Arabidopsis thaliana: one gene and its partners. Each later gene encodes a partner of the first gene's protein in a complex. Each region holds a gene or a part of one and is shown in the gene's direction. Other genes may lie near its edges.

Evidence for each region.
Region 2: NdhT (region 1) and PnsL2 share a complex: the UniProt entries of both Arabidopsis thaliana proteins name them as parts of the chloroplast NDH complex.
Region 3: NdhT (region 1) and PnsB5 share a complex: the UniProt entries of both Arabidopsis thaliana proteins name them as parts of the chloroplast NDH complex.

What each region holds. Positions count from the first base shown.
Region 1 is NC_003075.7:5,930,520-5,934,534, reverse strand, and holds NdhT (Chaperone DnaJ-domain superfamily protein), read left to right. Parts: upstream 1-2,059; 5' UTR 2,060-2,382; coding exon 2,383-2,708; intron 2,709-2,794; coding exon 2,795-3,218; 3' UTR 3,219-3,425; downstream 3,426-4,015. UniProt on the Arabidopsis thaliana protein: NDH shuttles electrons from NAD(P)H:plastoquinone, via FMN and iron-sulfur (Fe-S) centers, to quinones in the photosynthetic chain and possibly in a chloroplast respiratory chain.
Region 2 is NC_003070.9:4,837,994-4,841,400, forward strand, and holds PnsL2 (PsbQ-like 2), read left to right. Parts: upstream 1-1,807; 5' UTR 1,808-1,891; coding exon 1,892-2,365; coding exon of another isoform or gene 2,366-2,380; exon of another isoform or gene 2,381-2,540; coding exon 2,541-2,639; 3' UTR 2,640-2,804; downstream 2,805-3,407. Other genes in the region: UCP3 (Mitochondrial substrate carrier family protein), read right to left, coding at 138-668, 1,223-1,609; AT1G14160 (Uncharacterized protein family (UPF0497)), read right to left, coding at 2,805-3,020, 3,175-3,298, 3,378-3,407. UniProt on the Arabidopsis thaliana protein: NDH shuttles electrons from NAD(P)H:plastoquinone, via FMN and iron-sulfur (Fe-S) centers, to quinones in the photosynthetic chain and possibly in a chloroplast respiratory chain.
Region 3 is NC_003076.8:17,579,270-17,583,032, reverse strand, and holds PnsB5 (NAD(P)H dehydrogenase 18), read left to right. Parts: upstream 1-1,757; 5' UTR 1,758-1,887; coding exon 1,888-2,109; intron 2,110-2,184; coding exon 2,185-2,248; intron 2,249-2,354; coding exon 2,355-2,417; intron 2,418-2,496; coding exon 2,497-2,555; intron 2,556-2,702; coding exon 2,703-2,933; 3' UTR 2,934-3,166; downstream 3,167-3,763. Other genes in the region: AT5G43755 (non-LTR retrolelement reverse transcriptase-like protein), read left to right, coding at 1-56. UniProt on the Arabidopsis thaliana protein: NDH shuttles electrons from NAD(P)H:plastoquinone, via FMN and iron-sulfur (Fe-S) centers, to quinones in the photosynthetic chain and possibly in a chloroplast respiratory chain.

The sequences.
Region 1 (4,015 bases):
CGGGGGACAACGTAATATATAATACATTAGGAGACATGATTACCTGATAGCGGGGGACAACGTAATATATAATGCGTTAGGAGACATGATTACCTATTAGCGGAGAACAATTGGAGCAAGACTTTTGTTTTAGTCTTCAGATCTTGTCCTCGAATAGAAATTCTCTTTTGCATCTACGTTTTGTCCTCGATTTCACCATCTTGCTCTATTATTATGAATCCTACATCTTATATGCAATTGTTCTCATTTAATAATTTTGAATTTTATTTAAATTTTTGCGATCTATTTTGATCCACAGATTAGTTGAGCGTTATTGTCTTCACCTACACGTTAACATATTTTAATAATATGTTATATCGGGACAAGTTCATATCGAATGAGTAATAGAATTGGATCGGGGACAAAGTCAGATCGAATGATAGACAAGATAATATGTAATAACTGAATATTTTTGTTGTTTTACAATAGAAGAAAAAAAAATCGTGTCGGTGAAAACAATAATGCTCAACTAATCTGTGGACCAAAATAGATGGTAAAAAATGATGAAATCAAGGACAAGATCTAGATACAACAGAAATATTGTGATGAATAAAATTGAGAGACAAATTTAATTGAAAGTTACATGTAAAGAATCTGTGCAGGTTGTCAAAGAAAGTGAGAGAGTGACAAAAGCGCTTCATCTTCGGGAAGATAATAATATATGGTTAAAGCGCACAGATTTCAAGGAAGGAGAGATAAAATAGAGAAGAAATGGAGAGGGACAAAATCGATATTTCAGTATGAAATATGACATGAGTTGTAAGGCCCAGCAAATTATGGCAGATTGCATAAGGATTGGAAAAAATATGGCATATGTTGTAATTTTTTCCTTTTTAAAAATAATCTAAATAATTCTATAATCAATATGTGAACGATATTATACTTTACAGATCTTTTTGTAACTTCACCTTAATTATGATAGACCTTGCAAACAAATAAATGCAACAAAAAATAGACACTAAAAAATCTCAACAACAATCTTTAAATTATAAAAAATCACATAAATATCTTCGGGATTCAAATTTTAATAATTATTTAAACGGATTTTCTAATTTATATCAAAACCAAATATATTGAATATAAAATATACAAATAGGAAATACATTAATTTAAAAGATACAAAATATTTAACAAGAAATTGTGTTATTTTTTGTTCAAAGAATTCGATATAAAATCTTCGAAACGATCCGATATTGATTCTTATTAGATTGAAATTGTTAAAATTTCAATATATTATACAATTTTTCTTTTTAAATTGAAATTGTAAACCGACTCGAAGTATATTAAATAAAAATATTATTAAAAAGAAAAAGAACAATTTGATTTTTAGTTATCACGGGACGGATTTATATGGCGGGACGGGTTTACAGGAGACGAGTTTACATGGTAGGACGGGTTTGGATGAGACGAGATTATATGGTGCTATGAGTTTAGATGGGAAAAATTTGGATACCACGGGTGTACTCCTAGAATTAACAATCAAATTACAACTATACAATAGTAAACAAAACAAACAATAATAACATAACAAATACAATTTTAATTTCAAATTTTTAGTTACAAAAAAATAAATAAAATCAACATTTTAGTATAAGTGTTAATCTTCTTTGACACCTCTAAATGTTATTCTTCTTTGATACATTTAAATGTGTAATTTTAATATAAAGTTACTAAACTACATATGTTCCATGGATTAAATTTGAAAACACCAAAAGTTTATATTAAATAATTTTTTTATAACAAATTATGAATAAAATAAAATATTATCCCGTGGTATGGTCTATCACAAGTCAAATCCTAAAAGATAAAATAACATATATTAGACTTATTAATATCATAATTGTGACTCAATAAAAAACATACACAACCTTATCGATAATTATTAATCATCACAAACAACAACAAACAACAAATTATATTTTGTGATAAAGAAAAATAAATAAATAAATTTAATTTACGGTATATCGCGGGTCATATCCTAATTATGATACAATTGTCTATTTTTACCCTATATATATTACAAACGCACACATTTGTTGCATAACATATTTAGACATCGCTTCCAAAGAAAGAAATCATTTATCTCTACATTATTTCTTCCTCTCATTGCCCCTCTCTTCTCAACGTTTTGTCTCTTATATCTTTACGTTTCATACTTTTTTTTTGTTGACATTTAATTATTTAAATTTTTTGTTCCTATGGACACTAGATAGGACAACAAAAGATATAAAGAAAATCTACACCACACATATCATGAGGTTCTGGAACAAGTTTCTGCGGTAAGAGAAACCAAAAACATGAAGGGCAGAAAAAAAAAGAACAAACCATCTTCAACACAGAGCCATGGCTTATGCAACTTCTACCTATGCACGAACCTCATGCATTATCCTACCCAAAATCCAAAACGGCGCGCATTTCACGGATGACACGAAAGCATTTAGAAGGATAACAGCAAGAAGAGTGACGCGTATATACGCGTCACAAGGCCCGACTAAACCGTCAAAACCATCTCCAGGAGTAGACACAAGAATCCACTGGGAAAGCCCGGACGAAGGCTGGATCGGAGGAAGATCCGACCCGGCCAAATCGGTTGATGAGGACAAAACCAATCTCCTTAGTGACGAAAAATTTGCAGAACTAATCAAAGACTCTTTTGATTCTCATTACCAGTGAGCAAAACAAACATTCTCATTACATATCTTTTTATTTTTATTTTTCAATATGTATTGTAACATGTAACAATAATCATTTTCAGATTCTTAGGTGTTTCAACGGATGCTGATCTAGAAGAGATAAAATCTGCGTACCGGAGATTATCTAAAGAGTATCATCCAGATACAACTTCACTACCACTTAAAACAGCTTCAGAAAAGTTCATGAAATTAAGAGAAGTGTACAATGTTTTGAGCGATGAAGAGACTCGGAGGTTTTATGACTGGACACTGGCTCAAGAAGTTGCGAGTCGTCAAGCTGAGAAAATGAGAATGAAGCTAGAGGATCCGAAAGAGCAAGATTTTAGGGGCTATGAATCAATACCTGATATGGTTGACCGGTTAGGTGGAAGAAACATGGAGCTTAGTGATCAAGCAATGACTGCTCTCACGTTCGATATTTTGATCGTATTATTCGCTGTTTGTTGTATAGCTTTTGTGATTGTTTTCAAAGATCCTTCTTACTAGGTAAGGAGCTTTGTATATACTTGGAAAATTCATATAGTTTATATGTAGATGGAAGATTAACAATTACAGATTATAAGATCATTTGAACTAAAATAAAGTGGTCTAGTGGTTCTGTTCCTCACCTTTTTTGTGTGTGTGTTATTTTTGGATTTTTTCTAAGCTATCCAAACATTGTTTTAGAGCTATATTTTGTTATGCTTACCTAGCTAATCCAAATAGTCTCATTTATATAAAACAAAGCGAACAAAATAGTAGTTTTGATAACTAATGCGGAATTCACTAGTTTGGGAAGTATAGTAGGAATAAAAACTAGGGAGATTTGCAAAACTACCCTTTTTTCACTACCTTTTGCAACAATACCCTTTTATCAAGTCTTATATATATGTAGCACCTGACTCAATCCTCCTTAGACGTGTTCCTTAGAACTGTTCGATGCACATTTTGACTACGTTTTTTTTTCTTTTTTTCCTAAGATGTAAATATTTCACTAAAAATGAAAACAGTTTAAGAGTATAATCAAAAGACTATAAATGGTCCCATGACAAAAGAAAAACATGAAGCATAATTTATCAAGCAAACTTCAGTCCATCCGCATAACAAACGCACATAAGCTAATAGAACTAGATGAAGTGATAAAGGATTTTGTTGTTCTTTCAGACTAGTTTGAGTAAATGAAGGGTGATAGCACGTGAAGAAGCCAAAATTGTCTGCACACTAAGCACTATAAGCCTTTCACTGGAAACCCAAATTGAGACGTCAACGGTTAAGTACTAAATGTCGTCGATCACATTTTGATT
Region 2 (3,407 bases), on another chromosome or scaffold:
GGCCCAAATTTATATAACTCTTCTCGCGTTAATCAGAAACTGATGCTACTTCTCAAGGTTCTTACAAAATGTGTAACAACTAACAAGTAAGAACTAAAGAACACAAATCTCAAATTTGCTTTTCCAGTTTCTCAGGTCTAGAAGGAAGAGATTCCTGCCAGCAGTCTAAACTTCTCATAGGAGACCCAAAACACGAACTGCCACGGTCCAAGCCTTGCCCATGTCGGGAAGAAACCTTTCCACAAAGCTCTTATTCCTTCAAACTTAACCGTCTTCACCAAACAGTCGTAAGAATTTCTGTACACAGCATTTTCACCCTGGTTCATCATCCTCGTCTTCACCACATCAGCTGGACAACTCAAACTTGTCGAAGCAAGACCCGACATTATAGAAGCAAGAGTGTGCGCAAAAATGTTATCCTCAGCAATCTTCTTATCGATGACAAAGTGTTTGGCGTGATCATAGCAAGCTAGTTCTCCCATATTCACTAGAAATGCTCTCTGGATGTTTGGAAGAACACCTTTCCATAACCCTTTTACTCCTTCTGATTGTAGGATTTTGGTAAAAGCCTCGATTGGTCCCGAGTACCTCGGTTTCAGGCCTTGGCTCACCAATCTACCATCTGCTTGCATTCTCACTTTGACCAAATCAGCTGGACTAGCCACTACCTGCATTTCTAGTATGGACACAATAAGAAGCATTTTAGTGTGGTGTAGGTATAAACAACACTCAAATGTCAATTCTAAAGATATCAACAACCTAAAAGATAGCTACATTTCTCACTTCAGTAGCGTAAAAACAATTGAAAATCCTTAATAATTAACTTCGCCGGAAATCTACGAGTTTCCATAGGTAATCAGTGATCTGAGAGAACTTAATTGTAACACATAGGAGACAACAAGCAAGCACAAATTTTGGATTAAGGATCTGTGAAATACATTGAGACGTCTATGACTAGGATCTGCATTGGTTCTTATCTCTGAACCAACCTAAAGTAGCAGCTAACTTTGGAATGAAACGAACATTGAAAGCCTATAAAACTTGAAACAAAATCTCCTTCTAATTAATACCTTCTTCTACGAAACATATTCAAAGGAAACTATACATAGAGATCGATTGTTCAATTCGAAATGTTAATTCTACTCTAAGCAACTGTTAATCCAGATCCAATTTACAGTCAAAACATGACTCTAAAGATTTACCGGTGAAGAAACACCGTTACCTGAGCTATAACACCAGAAAATCCTCCGACGAGAGCCTTTGTGGCGAGAGGAAGAGACTCGCTATTGTTAGTTTCAGATCTGACGATGAGTCCTTTCAAATTCTCGTATCCAATGATTCTGATAGGCGTGTAGAACAGGTGTCTGATAATCGCCGGAGATAGACCTTTGTAGAGACCAATCACTCCTTCCTTTCTCGCAATCTCCGATACGACTCCGAAAGCGCCAATCCGATGCGCACCAGAAGCGGATCCCGAACCATGGAGCTGCATTCTAGTCTTTGTGAGATCAATCGGAAACGTAACTGACTCTGCAACCATCGCAGAGAGTGAAGCAAGCAGGATCCTGGTTCCGGTCGGTGCTTCTCTGGTCACTCGGCTCCGCTCCATTTTCACCGGATTTGATTACCACTAACACAATGTCCATCACAGAGAACACAACTTGATTCTATTTCGTAGTCAACGACATCGTTTCGGTCATCAGAGTGTATTTGACGACGTCGTTTCCATAATATTGGGCTTTAAAGTCTTATGGGCCCATGTTCACAAATTCTAAAATACAAAACTTTAGAGATAACAGCCGACGTGGCAAAACATGAAAGACCGAGTAGACATTATAGTTTTGAGCTCCTCCCATTTCATATCCTTAAGAAAAACAAAAACAAAAATCAAATGAGCTCCTTCACCACCACCAACACTCCGCCACCGTATCTCCTCCGGAAAATTTATCATCGCCGTGTAAACCAACCGTTCTCCGTCGTATGTTGCACCGGAGAACCCCAACAAGACATCTTCACCCGCCGGAGAACCTTGACTTCACTAATAACATTCACGGTCATCGGCGGTGCTACGTCATCAGCATTAGCACAGGAGAAATGGGGGACAAGGTCATTCATAAAGGAGAAATATTTTATGCCGGGACTATCACCTGAGGATGCGGCGGCGCGTATAAAACAGACGGCTGAAGGATTAAGAGACATGAGGGAGATGTTGGACCACATGTCGTGGAGGTACGTTATATTCTACATAAGATTGAAACAGGCTTATCTGTCTCAGGATCTCACCAACGCCATGAACATCTTGCCGGAGAGTCGCCGGAATGATTACGTTCAGGCGGCAAACGAGCTTGTCGAAAACATGAGTGAGGTATACGTTATATAATTAATGAACAAATTAAAAACAGAATTAGTAATTTTTAATGCTAATTTAAGGTTTGATTGTTAATAACACTGAATGTTGCGTTTTGTAACACATGATCATATGGAAGTCAAACTTTAACCACATGTTAATATTGATATCTTTCATAATTTTGATATAACAGTTGGATTTCTATGTACGGACGCCAAAGGTGTACGAGTCCTATCTTTACTACGAGAAGACATTGAAATCGATAGACAATGTTGTGGAGTTTCTTGCTTAATTCAGTTGTATTGTATATATGTCTTTCTTCATTCTTCACATGAAATCTCTGGACTCGTTACATTAGATATAAAATTAAAAGACTTAATAATGTATATTCAAGAAACATTTCGTTTGCGTGATTTCTCTGCAAAATCAGATCGATATATATATGTGCATAGATATCTTAGTGGCGAGAGAGGGAGATAGCGGAATTGATAACAATAAGCATGAGTAAGATCACTGCGCAGAAAGAACCGATGAGAGATCCCGAGATGCGTTCACAGAATCCGTCAAATTGCTGGCAGATCGGTGGCCAATTAGCAGTTGTGTTCCCCTCGTGAGCTAAATACACGGTGGCTGTTGCTGCAGATGCTCCAGAGCTAACCAAAGCCAGCATCACCTGATTATATATAGAAACCATAAATCATAACACTTTTGAGTGATCAAATTTAAATTTATATATGGGTTTTCATTAAAATGTTAGCTTTCTTGGGTCACAAGTTAGTTGGATATTTGGTGCCCTGTTTTGTTCTCTTAAAGAGGGAGATATTTACCGTGTCGACAACGAGCAAGATGATTCTCGAGGTTTTAGCTTGAGTACTGAAGATATGAAAGATACTCACAGGTAGAGAAAGAACCAAATATCCACCAGAAATGGCGTTTGCAACCACGAAAAACCTATAAAACAGAGCAGTATTATTATATATACACAATCAAATTCATGATTCATCGATATACTGATCACTGAATATTTTACATGAGCGTTGGTAAGTCGCTGTATTTAACT
Region 3 (3,763 bases), on another chromosome or scaffold:
ATAGCTTTATCCCATTGTGTATCTCAAATGCTCTGTTTTCAGACTACGTTTCCTAAGTAATAAAAATGAAGTTCGTGTTAAAAAAAAAAAAAAAAAAATGATGCCATTAACTCATATCATAAGTTCATAACCCAAAACTAAACTATCGTTTCATGTGTACTAACTACTTGTGAGATTTTCACAAGTCAATAACATGCGTGTGAATCTTTAACGCGTGCGTGATAAGTTTTGTATTTATATCATCATTTGGTATGTGTCAACACACAATTTGGGGAGAGTTTGTGTGGTAAGTAATGCAAAAATATATGTTTGTTATATAACATAGAACTGATTCTAATTGCTAAGAAAATTCCTACCAAACGAAGCAATTACGTTCAACAATTATTCTTAGAAGTTTGAAGAAACCATTCTCTACCACTCCACAATTCTTTCTTCTTCATTGGTTTTACAAATTCTACCTTTTCAAGTCATTCTTAAATCTTAAATAAACAAAACCAGTTTGAATTTTTTTTCGTAGTTGGTAGAAAAGTGTGTTCCAAAATGAGTTCTTTAGAAAAAAAATATTTCCAAAATGAATTATGATTTTTAATCTCTCTGCACCTTTAGTTATATCGGTAAGATATCTCAAATTCTTCAAGCAAATTATGGTACATATTTTCTATAGATAATATTGAAGAAAAAAGGAGCTTAACTAGTGTTGATTTCAACTATCGGAATCAAATATATATTTGCATTTCATTAGACACTAAACCTTTCAACAAAAAAATAATAATAATTCAATAAACACTACATGTGTAAGTGCATGTCACATGGATTACAAATCATTAAGCTAATATCTTCGATGAATTAAGAAGATAAGTGGATAACAAGTACCTAACCGCAATAGTCCATAAATTAAAACATTAATGTATTTGTCGTTGAAAATTTGGCCGACTTTTATTTGTTATTCTAGTTTCCACATCAAAAATGTTTGTACTTCGTAGCAATCCATCCACCTAAACCCCAAATCTTAATTTATATTTGTTGCGTTTAAATTTGGGTGAGATTTGATTCTAAGTAGTTGAGATAAATTGATATTCTATTCATTAGTAAAATGATAGAGAAATTGGTTTATAATAATTTTACCCTAGAACATGACATGATATTGGTAACCATTAATCAAAGAAAGAGCAAAGCATTTAATTTACCCTACTCTCCAACCACTCCAGCCTTTATTAGTTGCAGTTGGGAATCATTTCTTTATGATTCTTATGTCATTGTCTCCTAAATCAATGAAGTGCCTTGACCTTGTTACTAATTCGAACATAGCAAAGCCAACTACATAGATCCTTTACAAAGTTCTAAAAACAGGTTGTTTAGGCGTCTAGACAAACAAAACCATTTTGTACGATTCAACAAATTGGTCCATAGAATGTTATTGATCTTTCTTGTTTAGGCATTCGATAAATCGGCTAATACATTATTTTTTTGTTTTGCTTTTTCCTTATTAAAAATATGCAAAGTATTATGATGTTTAACCTGAACTGAATTTTACATTTAACTGGATATAGGAAAATATTGGGTTGAATTTAATAATTAAGCAATTGTCACGTAAATCAAATTGGGCTTAATATATATTGTTGATTTCAGCAAAGACAAAGTTGGGCCGTTTCAATAGTCTTCACGCGATGTAAGCGTTCACTAACCAACTAGAGAAGACAATCAAATGAATACGTTCCACGTGACGCTTACGAACTTGTCAGTCACTTTGGTAATATGACAGACAGTAACCAGTAAACTACTAATCTCTTTCGCTAACGAACACACAAAAAAAAAAAGAACCGTTTTTTCTTTCTATGGCTCCAAAACTCTGAGACAGAGCAAGAAAAAGATAAAGTGAGTGAAAAAATGGCAACGGTCACGATTCTCTCACCCAAATCGATTCCAAAGGTCACTGATTCCAAATTCGGAGCTAGGGTTTCTGATCAGATCGTCAATGTCGTAAAATGCGGCAAATCCGGCCGGAGATTGAAGTTAGCGAAGCTGGTCTCAGCGGCTGGATTGTCACAGATCGAACCAGACATCAACGAAGACCCGATTGGTCAATTCGAGACTAATAGCATTGAAATGGTAAAGATTCAATTGATTTTAAATTCATAATTCTGCTGAAAGTTGTTTCTGATTGGTTAGCGCTTTTGTTAATAGGAAGATTTCAAGTATGGATATTACGATGGAGCTCATACTTACTATGAAGGAGAAGTTCAAAAGGGTATAATTTTGGTTTCTCCTATTGATTCTTGTCGCTGTTTCGATTTTAGAGCTATAATATTTCTTTGTTTGATTGATTGATTAGTCTTCTTGGAAATGTTTCTTAGGAACATTTTGGGGAGCAATTGCTGATGACATTGCTGCTGTGGATCAAACTAATGGGTTTCAAGGTATGAATTTAACCCGCTTTTTAGTGCTTTTTATGTACCGCAGATTGATTGAAAACTCGCGGTTTTTTTATGTCTGCAGGTTTGATCTCTTGTATGTTTCTTCCTGCTATAGCTCTTGGGATGTATTTTGATGCTCCGGTAACTTCAAAATCTTTTGCTTGCTTCCAAAATTTATCATTACTAGTTTTATCGCTTTTGTTTTGTGGAGGACGTACAAGAGATTAGATAATTAAGCCAAGTATGAGAAGAAAAAGAATCACCAGTGTTTGTGTGTGTGTGTTGCAGGGTGAGTACTTGTTCATAGGTGCAGCGTTATTCACGGTAGTGTTCTGTATAATAGAGATGGATAAACCTGACCAGCCACACAACTTCGAGCCTCAGATATACAAATTGGAGAGAGGAGCTCGTGACAAGCTCATTAATGACTACAACACAATGAGCATTTGGGACTTTAATGACAAATATGGTGATGTATGGGATTTCACCATTGAGAAAGATGATATCGCCACACGATAAGATAATGGATTGTGATCTCGTTATAATCATGACTTTTGATGTAAACTGTTTTATAAAATTGATGAATGAACGGGGTACAATGTGTATAATATTGATTGTTCATTCTCTTATTTTTCTTTAGTACCATAAAACCTAGATTCTCATCTTGTAGTGTTAGGTTTCTGTTCTTCACTATATGTTTTTTTAAGATCTAAGTACCTCGTATGGACCCAACGAGTTTCCATACCCATCATTAGTTCATACAATGGTGGATAAACCATACAATTTGAGGTTGACGTATGCCACACGCTAACTTCATCCCCTGGTCCAAACACAACAATATAGTGTTCCAGTATTGTGGAAGAGTCCGAGGAGCTAAACACACCTTCGAGTTCTATCGAGTTGGAACATCAAGTGACAAACCAGCTCCACTCCTAATCCCTAGTCTCTCTACAAGAAAATGCTTTAACGTATCTCTGACACTTTCTTTAATATTGTGCAAACTATTCGTAAGTTCCATACCAGTTTTTACTATGATACTAGATGAGTACCCACGCTACGCGTGGGTTTGTTTTGAAAATTGTTAAAAAATATTTAGATTGATTGTTAGTTTTGCTAATTTATGTTTATTTTTGTATTGTTAATGAAATTAGATCCATATTATTTACAATTTTTATGGTTAGATTCATTTGTAACTCGAAATATCAATTTCTAATTTTCATGTATAAAGCTATTTATAAGATGTTAATATTTGTTCACTATCAAAAATACATATAACAACAATATATGATATTTTGATACAATTATGTGTAACCATGTTACTTGTGTGGTTTAAAATTTATCTTACTCGA